Caenorhabditis elegans: one gene and its partner. The protein of the gene in region 2 purifies or fractionates together with the protein of the main gene of each other region. This does not show direct contact. Each region holds a gene or a part of one and is shown on either strand. Other genes may lie near its edges.

Evidence for each region.
Region 1: the proteins of C34B2.3 (region 2) and plc-2 fractionate together in Caenorhabditis elegans (co-fractionation; one large-scale study listed by BioGRID). This does not show direct contact.

Annotation. Positions count from the first base shown.
Region 1 is NC_003283.11:15,190,685-15,198,651, reverse strand, and holds plc-2 (Phosphoinositide phospholipase C), read right to left. Parts: upstream 6,081-7,967; 5' UTR 5,930-6,080; coding exon 5,867-5,929; intron 5,776-5,866; coding exon 5,677-5,775; intron 5,363-5,676; coding exon 5,180-5,362; intron 5,136-5,179; coding exon 4,993-5,135; intron 4,932-4,992; exon of another isoform or gene 4,919-4,931; coding exon of another isoform or gene 4,783-4,918; intron 4,739-4,782; coding exon of another isoform or gene 4,653-4,738; exon of another isoform or gene 4,643-4,652; intron 4,550-4,642; coding exon 4,471-4,549; intron 4,427-4,470; coding exon 4,326-4,426; intron 3,579-4,325; coding exon 3,430-3,578; intron 3,379-3,429; coding exon 3,223-3,378; intron 3,176-3,222; coding exon 2,224-3,175; intron 2,178-2,223; coding exon 2,081-2,177; intron 1,890-2,080; coding exon 1,565-1,889; intron 1,521-1,564; coding exon 1,416-1,520; intron 1,368-1,415; coding exon 1,267-1,367; intron 1,220-1,266; coding exon 1,082-1,219; 3' UTR 1,028-1,081; downstream 1-1,027. Other genes in the region: srw-1 (G-protein coupled receptors family 1 profile domain-containing protein), read right to left, coding at 1-397; Y75B12B.13 (uncharacterized protein), read left to right, coding at 4,653-4,738, 4,783-4,918; Y75B12B.11 (DUF7808 domain-containing protein), read right to left, coding at 6,816-6,939, 6,994-7,090, 7,139-7,222, 7,274-7,343; cyn-3 (Peptidyl-prolyl cis-trans isomerase 3), read right to left, coding at 7,819-7,967.
Region 2 is NC_003279.8:10,670,621-10,675,768, forward strand, and holds C34B2.3 (Protein kinase domain-containing protein), read left to right. Parts: upstream 1-2,116; 5' UTR 2,117-2,192; coding exon 2,193-2,294; intron 2,295-2,353; coding exon 2,354-2,470; intron 2,471-2,682; coding exon 2,683-2,777; intron 2,778-2,826; coding exon 2,827-2,896; intron 2,897-3,087; coding exon 3,088-3,183; intron 3,184-3,227; coding exon 3,228-3,311; intron 3,312-3,364; coding exon 3,365-3,583; intron 3,584-3,662; exon of another isoform or gene 3,663-3,794; intron 3,795-3,835; coding exon 3,836-3,940; exon of another isoform or gene 3,941-3,989; coding exon 3,990-4,076; intron 4,077-4,123; coding exon 4,124-4,204; 3' UTR 4,205-4,244; downstream 4,245-5,148. Other genes in the region: fkb-7 (peptidylprolyl isomerase), read left to right, coding at 43-214, 276-350; C34B2.4 (LIM zinc-binding domain-containing protein), read right to left, coding at 925-1,042, 1,090-1,168, 1,213-1,283, 1,328-1,389, 1,904-1,969; ttc-1 (TPR_REGION domain-containing protein), read right to left, coding at 4,658-4,924, 4,976-5,077.

The DNA of each region.
Region 1 (7,967 bases), on a different chromosome or scaffold from region 2:
ACTTACTCATGGCAAATTTTATTGAGAGACTGCGAAATAAAGCAACTAAAATTACAAGACAAGACGATACAAGCATGGAAAAGCCGCCTAGAGTTTCCATGGTCAACGTGAGAGCTGTAGCATAGTATGTGTCGAATCCAAGACAGAAATCAGGTTGGTTGAACTCCAGAATGTATTTGATATCGTTTTGAGTCTGTGTTAATAGTTGCAGCAAGTCACAGATACATATAACAAACATCATACTGAACACAGGGCTTGATCGAAGAGATTTTCGGATTAAAATCGAAAAATGGAAAATGTTGGATAACAAGCCGAGGAATGAAATGACAGTGTTTACAAGACGAGCATGGTAGTCAAAATAGAACGCGGAAGCCGCATCCGGCCATACATCTTTCATCTCGATTTTTAACTGGAGAGTAAAGTAGAATACATAGGCAGGAGAAAAATTGTTAGACGTAAATTACATGTTTACGAGTTTTGGTTCACATAAACGTTTTGATCTGACTGAAAATTTGCGGCTTGAAAATGTCGACTGATTAAAAATCTGGACAATGAATAGACCAGCTAAATTTTCAGAATAGATTTCAATGAATTCCTTAAAGTGGCGGACATATTACGGGTTTTAAAAGTAGCAAATATTGGACGCTTCGTGAAAGCAGCAGACATGTGATGGGTTCCAAGAATCCTTTTTTTCTGATCAAAAATGGTGCCACGAAATCCCGGCCGCTTTATTTTGTGTCATGATATTTGTGAATAATTTACATGCTTTAAAAAACTGCCAAAACTGGACTTTTGAGATGACGGCCGCTGCCTCTTTTGACCTGAATGATTTGAAATATAAATAAACTTTTGCACAATATAATGAGCAACAGCTTCTTGGTTGATTTTTATTTCTATAGTTTCCAGATTTTCAGATTCTCATTTGAAAGTATATAAGAACCTGCGAAAAGCCTTTTTTTTCTAATGACTGTTTTTTTCTTGACTGTAGTTGCTGCTAATGTAAGGGCATACGACTTCTTGTTTCTTTGTATTCCAGGTAGATTTATGCAACTCGTATTTTTTGTGCAAAAAATGTTAGATTCTACTTCTTCTTCCAAAACGATATCTTTTCCAGAATCTCCTTCCCAAAAGACATTGGCTTGGTTGGTGTGGTGGGTGTTGTTGGTGCATGCTCCACTGATCCTCTGCGTGTTCCCTCTACTAGAAGGAACTCATTGTCCTAAAATTCAAACTTTTGATATTGATCTGTAAGTATGGAAATCTTACATCAAACTTGTCCAGGTCTGCAAATGGATTGCTGAATCTTCGTTCCCATTTGTCAGACTCCTTTTCAAATGCGTGTGGATTGTACATTTGCTTCAAGTCATCTGAATCCAATTTACAGTTTCAGGGCTCCTGTTAAAACAAGAACTTACGTAAATTTTTCCTATCTGAATGCATAAAAAGATCAAATCTAACTAAAAGGCATGCTGGCCCAGCACACTGATTAGATGGAGTACGAAGTGTCACAAAGCGATATCCTGGAAATATTGAGGAAAATCAGTGAACTATGCGGTTGTCTCACCATTATTCATAGTATCAATATGAAGTATTCGTTGAGCAAATACACTACCCGACTCATTATGAACATTGAATTGAATGAATGACATGTCATTCAACATGATTTTGTCGAAACTGTATACATGACGCTCATAGTTAGTGACAAACGAAGCCTCCTCTCGAGTACGCCGTCGGCAGCTGGATTCGAATTTTGCAGCCGTGGATACTGATGGCGATGCGGCATCATCTTTGGATATCTGATCAGGTACGTCAAAGAGGCGAATGGAAACTGAACTTCGTCGACGAAATTTGCCAGAATCCATTGAAGAGAGGAAGTATGCGGCAATGATCTGAGAAAGATTGTGTAAACTGAAAGATGTCTAGAGGTCTGTCTAATGTAATAAGCTTGATCTTTTTCTTACCAGCTCTCACTGAGATTTGGGGTTGAAACCCTCTGAAAAAAGTTCAAGGAAGAGATTTTCGTGAACTTCAGAACTTGAAAGAATCCCCGAGAAGATCTATGATAATAAAATTTGCTTACCTCAACCTCGACCGTATACGCTATCGTGAATGGAATCGACAAGAACGGCCTCAGCTGAACATTCCGTGCTCTGAGCCAATCAGGTTTTCTCACGTATCTGCAAGCTCAAACTTCACGCCCTTTTTTCTATTTTTCAAACATACCCACAACCTCCATTTCTCTCAAACATTGCGTAGTTCAGTTGCATGTTCGAACAATTTGTCTGAATATTTAACGAAACCATTTGCGAGCCGGTTAGCCAGTGAATCATCGGGTTGTAGTTGGTGGAATAGATGCGAGAGGCTTTCGGGTAGATTCTTGTGATCTTTGATTTGTTAAGATTTTGGACTTTATCAATGGAATTTGCACGGAGACAGTTGTAAACGGTATTCTCATCAGCAGATACTATGCATGGAACGATGTCCTTTGTAGCATTCTCTAGATTGACAACTGTGGAAACTCCACGACTGGTCTCATAGGCTTGCATGTAGTTGGTGATGGCGGACAGCTCGGAGCATGTTGTTTCTTCTGGTAGCTCGCTGAGCTGGGCGGCTTTTTGTTCTTCAGTGAGCTCATTGAATCGTTCATTCTCCATTTCTTCATCTTCGGTCAAATCGATTGAAGATCCCTGTAGATCAATGCTCGAGCTATCGCGACTTCTTGACTCCTGTTTCTCGAATCTTTTCTTCTTGGCTTTAATCAGAATCTTGTGCTTCAAAAGTTCCGGCGGTGGATACACAACGTCGCCTGCCCCCTCTTTAGCGTAAAGGGGGTAGTCTGGAAGTGGGCCAGTCAACAGCAGCTCTCCGAATACTTGACGAAAGATCTGCACCATCTTCTCTTGTTGTTTTCTGCCAAGGTGATTCTCAATGGATAGAATCACTGGATAGGGAGATGTCTTAAAAGCACATTCCTTGATCGCCTCGCAAACTTCTTTCAATCCAATCTCGTTCATTCCCATAACTGCAGTTGGTCCATGAGTTATCACAGGTTCTCCATCTTTGTCCTTGTTATCCCACATATCTAGCTCAACGCATCGACTTCCACTTAGAAGAGCCTGACGATACATCTCAACGTCAGCGGAGCAATGACCAATTGCGTAGACCAGTTGGTTGCCTGAACGGATATTTGAAAAAAAAAGTCCGCGTGAGTTGATGACCTACCAGAACAATAAGTGTTGTGTGAAGAATTAATGAAATACTTGTTGATCGGCTCTCTCATACTAGTCACATCCATCTTCATTCTTTGTGCCGAAATCGCAACTCCGCACTCATCGGACACCATCCAATGTGTGAACATTTGAGGTGAAATTGCGGAATCTGAAATTAGCCTCGTTTTTAAAAGAAGCTTCCAATTGTAGCTAGACTAACCGCTAGAATACTGCCAGTTTTCTAAAATCGAGTTGATCTTCCTATCTGACACCTGATTGAACCTAGCGTCGTTGAGTCGATGATCGTGTTGATTTTTTCTAAGCCAATCGCCAAATTCTAACTTTGTGGCAACAGGTTCATCCTCGCTTCTGAAAATGAAACTGACTAGGAAACCATCAGAAGGTGCCCAACGGACTTGCATATGAGACCTATGCTATTCGATAGCCCATGTCTTAAACCAATGTCTAAAACGGTTACTCGTGATTTTTTAGCTGCGAATCTCCAGAACTAAGCTCACGGCAAGCTCTCAAAGATCCTGAAAATAGCACTATAACGAAAAATTGAAGGGTCAATTTTGCAGCTTCACTTTGGTAGATCATATCTCCGCGGATAAATTTTAAGTTGTTGATCTTTTTGTAAGGAACAAGTTTGTAATTGAAAGTTTTTAATAAAAAAATTGTTGTTTCAAATAAAAGCGCGTGAAGTGCGGCAACTGTTGTCTACTATTTTAAGGCTGCGATTGCTATTCTAATGCTTTTATCTGAAACAGAATTTTTTTTGGTGAAAACTTTCAACTACAAACTTGCTCTTTACAAAAAGTTCAACAACTTATCAGTTGATGACTTTTCTGTTAAAAATTTATCCGCGGAGATATGAGCTACCAAAGTGAATATGGAAAATAGCTTCTTTTGATTGTTACAGTGCTTCGTTACAGTGCTATTGTAGGATCTTTGAGAGCCCGCATTAAGCTTGGTTCTGGAGATTCGCAGCTAAAAATTCGCGAGTAACCGTTTTAAGACATGGGCTATTAAATGGCATAGGTCTCCTATGCAAGTCCGATGGGCACCTTCTGATGGTTCCCTAGTGAGGTAAATTGCAATTAATAAGAATCTTACATTTTTCGAAATATAGCTTCCAACCTGGAACCCTCAAACTTGGTAAGTATCATAATGATCTTTATGAGCTTCTGATCGTCTATCTCGACAGACTTTCGATTCTGAATGAGACTGTAATGGTTTTGCAGGCATTATGTTAACTCACCACTGGAAGGAGTTTTCCAACCTCTGTCCATTCAATTTTCGTTGAGTTTTTTCGATGCTTGTCGAAAACCTTCATAATACTGAAACTTCAATGATCAAAAATCAAGCTCCCATGTGCTTTGCTAATTCAATCATACACTCGCTCTTAAAGACGCAAAGGCTTAAAACTATCCAGTTTCTGCTATGAAAAACTTTCTATATTCGATTTTCTTGCTTTCTCTCTTGGTGGCTTTCCTTGGAACACCAACGGATGCGCATACTTTTGACTGGTAAAGTTAGCAGTACTGCTTAATTTAAATAATAAGATTTACAGCTTCGATTGCACAATTCCTCCGGTTGAGGATGAAAAAGCTGTTGATCAATACCACCAAAAGTATGATAGACGTGGGAAAAACTCGCTGCACATTGATATTAACGTCGAAAATTATTTGAAGCATCATTACAATTAAATAATGAACGTTTTACTATGCAGCAATTCGCGTCCAGTTAGGTGTACCTTGCAACTACGGTATAAAAAACTTACTCTTCTTCAATACACCTTCTAGTAAACGCCGCGTACATCTTCGGAGCCAACTTTTTACGAAAATGATACAAAAGTCCGTGCTCTTCCCGTTTGACACGCTGTACCACAGTAAATAGAGTGGCGGCGAACTCGTGCAGGCGTTTCTGAATCAAATCAAAGGATTTAGGTTAAAGTATAACGAAATCACCTCATTCTTCTCCATACACACGAAATGAGTGAACTTTAGATTCGTGATGCTTGTCCCGCTGACAATAGTCAAAAAGTTGGGCTCATAACTTCTCTCGCTGGGCACTAATTCAAAGTCTGTCGGTTTTCCTGCACGAACGTCATAGATTCGTTCTAGATAAATGTAGTTCTTCTCGTAAGCAAGCTGAAAAGTTGGTATTCTAATATGAAAAATTGACAAATAAGAGGTGTAGAAATGAAATAAAATATAGAAATAGATTATTGTTACTTTTTATTTCTACTCTAACTTTCCTCCTACTTACAACTTGAACTCTCAAATTTTCAAACATTTTTTTGAATAAATTTGAATATGGCCTCACGTGGCGTTCCCCCGTCAAAAGAAAAATTTTCTTCAACTGACAAAATGTTCAAAAAATATGGATAATATTTTATAGTTGAAATCTATTTCGCAGCTTCGCCTATTCTATAGTTATGGGGGTTTTAAGGGCACCAACCTACCTCCTTTGTATTGAAAACTTTAGGATCCTTGTACCTCCAATACAAAATATAAGGTGTTGGATCAACATGAAGACGAACGGCATTTCGGCTTGTCCAATTCTGAAAATTTCATAATTTTAAATATTTTTGATTACCCAAATACGCTCCATTGACAAAGAGTAATTTTTTTACAACAATGTAAAATCCTCACCTCCTCATATTTAAAGAAAATCAATTTACCATCACGCAAAATGTCAGTAGGTTTCGTTGCCATGTTGGCGGAGGAAAGTGACAATTTTGTCACTTTCCAGGCCAGTTTCCAACCAAATCAGCTTTCCGTGTCGTCAGCAGACGCCCGAGAGAGTACGAGTTTGAGGAGAGACGCAGCGAATTTGGCTGTACGAATGTTTGTGTTTGGTGCATATGATTGATAACTGATAGCATTCTTTGATTGGGGGAGCAGTATGAAGAAGAAAATGTCAAGGTTTATGTGATGTCACCAGTGAGTTGTAGAAAAGGTTACTAATTGTATTTTGATTTTTTATAGTATGTATTTGAATAATTTGATTTTTGGTTTTCAGATGGGAACATGAATCGAGTGTGTCTTTGAATGAATATAGGACAAATATGTACATATGTCTGACCTCATGCCTACACGCGTGCCTACATCCAAAGTACATGTTTTAGAGCAAATAGGCAGTAGGCAGGCAGGCATAAGGTAATCACGTTGCCCGGTCTCAAAACGACATGTTTTCGTCAAAAAAGTGTGCGTCTTCAAACAGTACTGCAATTTAAATTTTTGCTGTGCAATTTCCTTCCAATTTTCATAGAGTTTATTAATTCGCTTGGAAAACTTTAAAAAGTTGATTAAAGAAAAGGGACAATACAATTTTGAGATTACATTACCCTCTAAAGGCGCACATCTTTGTTATTTAACAAAACTGTGTCGTGGCGAGACTTATTTTTAGCCCAAAAAGTACATATGTAATTTTATTTCGAAATAAAGAGAATGTTCTTGATCGAGTTTAGAACTAATACAATATCTCGTCGTCAATTTTATTTAATTTTTCCAATTTGCTCGTCGAATGGTGTGCCACGTCTACATCTTGCGTACTTTCTCGGGTACCGTAATACAATAAAATCCAGAAAAATTATTTATTTCAGACCATATACACCGCAAAAGCACAATGAACAGATAAAGTAATATTTGCTTCAGCACATTTTCCACTTCTCCAAATCACATATTTTCCATCGGAAGTCTTTTCAGCATTGTATGTGTAAAACCTTAAATTTATAGAATTTTTGAAACTACTGTAAACATTAATTTAATCGGATCACCTATTGCAATATCGATAATCGGTGGGCCTTTTTGAGATAACACTGTCACGATCAGCTTTATCACATTCTATATCACATGCGATTTTTCCGTTAGAATCTGAATTTTTCTTGCGATTTCAAAAGTTTATTCAAATAAAAAGACGACCTTTCTCACAAACTGCAGGTTTAAATTCTTCGCCGGTTTTTTGAAGAGAGCAGTTGGCGTTTTCACATTTTAAAATCCGATTTTCTGAGAAATTTTTAATGTCAATTCAAAAAAATTTAATCTTTTAAAAATTACCCCATTGATAAAGAGAGTTTATAGTGTTTAGAAAAATTAAAAGCGACAATAAATAGTAGATGCGATTCATTAAAGATTGAATTAAAATCTGAATGGATGTTGCATGTAGATTCAAGTATTAGATAAAGCTGAAATCCGGTTCTGAAACTCTCCGCTTCATTATTCCTCTCTGCTTGCCTACGCACACTTTTATAGGTACACAACGGCGCACTACTATTCGCGACCGAGTGGTTCAGTGGTAAAGCGCGCCGTCTTCAAACAACAGACGCGGGTTCAACTCCTCAGCGGTGATCGATGACTTGTGCAGTGGCCGAGGCGATCGGATTGTGATGTCGCCTGAAAAGGCGGGACCCAACGTCGCGCCTTTCGCCAGAAGATGGAAATATGCGCAACGTCTGAGCTGATTTCTTTTTTTTTTCTCAATGAGACCTGGGTTTCTTCAAAGGAACAATCGGGGATAACTGAGGTTTATGAGAAAAATATGGATTAGTTGAATACTGAAAATATATAATCAAGAGATGAAGGAGATTTCGGGTGCAATTAATTTATGCCTTGAGTTGTCCACAGTCAGCGATCATGCAGTCCTTGACTGGCTTTCCGGATTGGGATCCGTTGGATTCGACAGCCTTCACGACGTCCAATCCTTCGACGACACGTCCGAAAACGACGTGCTTTCCGTCGAGCCACTCGGTCT
Region 2 (5,148 bases):
TTCAGAAACTTATTTTACATAGATAAATTAAAAACATTCCAGATATTTCGATGTGAATGGAGATGGAATTGTGACAGAAGTTGAATGGCTGAAAATTATGGATCGAGATGAGAAACTTATCAATGATAAGAAAACAAAAGAAAAGGGACGAAAGAGAGATCCTGGAATTGGATGGATTTTGGATTTTGATAATGACGGAATTGTTTCTTATAAGGTTTGTGGAGAACTGTTTTGCTTTAAAAAAAGTTTCAAATAAAAGATAATTTAATTTTCAGGAAAATGATGAAGCTGCTGATCGATTTGATGCAGGGCCAACACTTTTGCCAATGGAATCAAAGGATGAACTCTAATAAATTAAATTTCGTTTTGTTGACTAATAAAATAACTGTTTTGAAGTTGATATAATAGTTGTAGTAATTTTTTGTAGAGTCGGACCTTTACGGGAAAACCTTTTTGTAAATTTCTAACCCAAAAACATTCGATTCAAAGTTTTCCAATAACTATCATGAAAAGGAAGTAAATTCTATGAAAAAATATGAAGAAAAATAGAAATTGGAAATCAATCTGTAGTGCCTTGTCGTGTCTCAAAGTCTATGAAAAATTGATAAAAGTCTGTATGTGGTGTTTTAATTGTCTTGTTTATCAATAATTTTTCTGAACAATTTATTATTATTATTATGATTGAACCGGGCAAATTCCAACATTTCCCGTGCTTAATAAACTCCGAAAATTTTGATGTTATGTCTTTTGGATCACCAAAATCAGTTCCGTGTAGTAAAAAACGTAACAAAAACGTGTTTTCCCAATTTGAACATTTTTAGCTTGTTAAAAACTTGACTAAAAATGAAAATTCATTTCTTTCAAAACAAGGCTAATACATATGTAAGTCTCCAGAAACTGTTCGGTTTTGTGAACAATCTGGATTCATTTTGGCAAATCCTTTGCAACAATCATCCGAAGCTGAAGATCCCAGAAACAATCAGAATGGACACACATTCGATTCGGAAGTTGATGGAAATCTACTTTTAATGGCTTCTGGCACCTGAAAATGAAATATTAACTGAATTAAAACGGAAATAGGTATATTACACAGAACATTGGAAGCAAGTGGGATGCCACGTGGAATTCAGCGCCTCACAAAAGTTGGTCTTGATGAACTCGCCACAACCTGGATATTTATAGGGTTTCTGAAGTTTCGGAAGCTTTAGATACCTTTGCAAATAGGACGAGTCGTCTTGATATGGCACTCGGAGCACAGGATCACTCCATTCTGTGGAACACACCTGGAATTGATTAATGTAAAACTATTAATATTTAAATGAAATACCTCTCCCCGTCATTGATACGGCATTTGCACAGATCGCAAAGCAGATGATTCACGTGCCAGACCTGAAATTTGGGGTTAACTTGTGATTTAGATGGGTTAAACGGGCTAAACTTTCAAACCGAGAATAAAAAACTAGCTCCTTGTTCATATTTTGATGATTTCGAAATAAGAAAATCCGTTGTATTTTATTAAATTGAGAAGTGTAAATTACTTTTATGGTGCCAGATGATCAAATATATATAGTAAAACTTTTAACAAATGTTTGGAATTCGAGTCAATTTCGAGTCAAAAAATGCCAATTACTGAGCTTTTGTCACTTTTTGTGAAAATTATGGAGCTGTCGCATGCTCAAATTATTATTATTATTATAATAGTATGAAGAAAAACCTTTTTTTGAGCGACAACTTCCAAAAAAGTGACAAAAACTGTGTAACTAACACTTTTCGAAACAAAATAAAACTGTATTCAAAAGACTTATGAAAAGTCACACGACGGGAGTAGTTCCAACAATTTTCTAATTGGAGCTACTTCACCTTTGACTGTCAGCTTTCGAATAAAATTTCGAGAAAATCTTACTTTTCCATTTGCCAGAATAGCCGACTCCTCGCCAATTTTCACCGAGCAATGTCCACATTCGTTCATTTTGAAGTTTAAAAAACTCTAATTTTGTTGGAAATAAAATACATTTCAAATAATTGACTTTCTAAAAATTCCCCACGGCCACGTGTTCGGCCTTGATTGTGAAATGATAAACAAAGAAAAACTTCCAAGAAAAATTGAAAACCAATCAGTTTGAATTTCGCATTGCGAACAATTGCGTCGTCGGATAAGAACAGAAAAGTCTCGGCTCAAAAAAGATAACGAAATGGAAGATCGTAACATTACGGAGGAAGATCGCGTTTGCCCACAACTCCCTGAGTTTGATGAACAAGCGAATGTTCAAACGGATTTGAAGAAAATGAAACCGGTTCGTTCAGATGTTCAGGTTTTCTTTATTATGGTTTGAGAAATCGACGCTTTTTCTAGGGAGATGCAATTGGAAAGAATTGGAAAGTGGTGAAAGCAATTCAATCGGATAAAGGATTCAATACAATCTACGTGGCGGAGCATGTGCAAAAGAAGAAGAAGATGGCAGCCGTTAAGGTACGATGTTTCAGGTGTGCCTATCGGCGTGTCAATGTATGGTTTTTGGTGGTATGCCTGCCACATTTGATACGGTCTAGGTCCTCGTAGGACCTAGTCTAAGTGAAAATAAGGCGGTAGGCAGGCAAAGGAGTACGCAATTTCCCAACATTCTATAAGTTTCAATATTTCTGTAACACGAAAAAACTGCCAACCGAGTTTACAATTTTCAGGTTGAAAGAAAGACGGAGGCCATCAAGATGCTCCAATTCGAGCTTTTCGTCTTGTTGACAGTTGAGAAGAAAAACCAATGCAAACAATTTTGCAAGTAAGCTGGAGAGATTTCAAAAAAAGATTACAAAATCTTTTATTTTCAGACTGTTTGAGAAAGGAAATGAGAAGGAGTACAACTGGATTGCAATCACCCTTTGTGGAAAAAGTTTGAGGGTAGGTACATGACTAGAAGATTCTACATGGCAGGAATCCCGCCCTCGCCTCTCGCCGGCAAGTCTTACCAGTTGCACAGGGTATTGGCAACTAATGAAAAGAGCAAGAGACAGGTCATCAAGACCAATTGCACACAGGGAAGCGAAAGCGCCTGCTTTTCACCTCGACAGTATGCAAAGCCTATTTTTCAGGCTCTGCGCAAAAACCAGCCAACTGGAAAACTAACGGTTGCATGCGGATTGAGTGTTGCCCAACAATGCTTGAAAGGTCTTGAAGAGCTTCATCGAGTGAGAAATCTAACTTTAATTATTTCAACTTTCTTGATTTTCAGATGGGATTCATCCATCGCAACGTTGCTCCGTCCGTATTTGCAATTGGAAGATACACTGGTGACAATCAATCTGATTTAAGAAATGTAAACGCATAAACTTTTTTTTTCAAATTTCAAATTCAAATTCCTAATTTCAGATCTATATTCTCGACTTTGGATTTGCTCATCAGTACATGATTAAGGATGGAACACTGAAACCTCCGTCAGCTCATCCATGGAAATACGTGGGAAGTCTTCGTCATATGCCACGTGCCGCATATTCGAAAGTGGAATTCTCAAGAATGGAAGACTTGGAAATGTGGTTCTATATGAGTGTTGAGCTGGTTAAGGGATGTCTTCCGTGGGCTCATTTGAAGGTAAGACTTGTTGAGTAGAATATGGCTCCAAATGCAATCGAAGAATGTCTCTGAAAGTAACTTTGCATCAAAGAACGGCATCACTATACCCTTGGGCTTTTACGGGAGGCAGGCGGTTTCAGGCTTTGGCACATGACTGCCTGCCTGACGCCTGCCTGGAAATCCTCCTTTGCATATAACTTTGCACGGCGAAGTAGGTGTAAATGCATTTTTGACATATATCAAAGCCCTTCTCTATGTATCCTTTTCCAGAAACCAAAAGAAGTGCATGACTATCAAAAGTTGTGCCGAAATGGTCTTCAAATGCGTGAAATGCTCGGAGGTCTTCCACCAGAATTCGTCGACATTATGCAAATAGTAGGCAACTCCTTTGCAACTTTTCCCCTAACAATCCATTCTTTTTCAGGTTGACAAACTTTCATTCACCGACACTCCGAACTACACAGAAATCTACGGACTTCTCACCAACGCGATTCTCTTCAGTGGCAAAAATGTATGTCTTTCACACAATAAAAGTGTTATCATTTATCATAATTACAGGAATTCCCGTACGATTGGGAGGAGGCTGAGATCAACGAGTTCAAGAATCCGCAGAAGCCAAGTGTGGAGCAGGCAACCTAATAGCTCTCTTTCTATGGAAATAAATTGACTTTTTTGAATATTCAAAGTGTTTTTATATCTTATAACGTTATTCCATAAACTCCCAGTACAATACATCTACAGAACTAGAGAAAAGAGAGTTCAAAGATCAGAGATCAAACTACATATGAACAGAACGAAACTGCATTTTATATGTAGTTACATTGTAGTAAACGATATAATTTCATTTCAAAAGATGAGTTATCATATATTTAGGAATGACCCTTTTGTAGATCCCCTCCATCCCTGATACGGTAGCCTTAAAGTTTCGATCTTTTCGAGACCAGAGAACATTTTAGTGTGAGCGATTAAAATTTCACGAATACAAATAGAAATGTTCATTTTAATCTTTAAAATCACGAAATTGAAAGCAAGAAGACTATTAACCGGAATGCAGATAGAAAATGTACAGAAAATTCAAAGAATGTCGGCCAATTATGCATTTTCCTCTTCTTTCTTTTCCTGACTTGCACCTTCTTGTTTATTCGTAGCACCTTTCATTTGAACCGAAAATCCTCCATTTCCATTCGGGACCATCTCAAAACTGTCTGTCGAGAGCCCAAACGGCGATAGACAGAAATTTCCGAAACCCTTCAGTTTTTCCATCACATCGGCTTTCATCGCCTCATTTCGATTATTAATTTTCTCATTGATTTCAGCGATTTTCCGATCAAGTTCGACGCGGCGTTTTGGAAGAGATTCCTGGAAAAAGTTTACTTCTAATTTCAAAAAGAAATCTACCAAAATCGATACCTGTAACTGTTTATAATCTTCAATAGAATTCTCATACTTTTCTGACATATTCGAGTATGCAAACGCCCGTCGTTCCAGTGCTTTCTCGTTGGTTGCTCCAATCTGAAAATTGATTTTATTTGTTTCAAGCTAACTAGCTAATAGTAAGTCGCAAAATTTTGCTATCTAAGGGT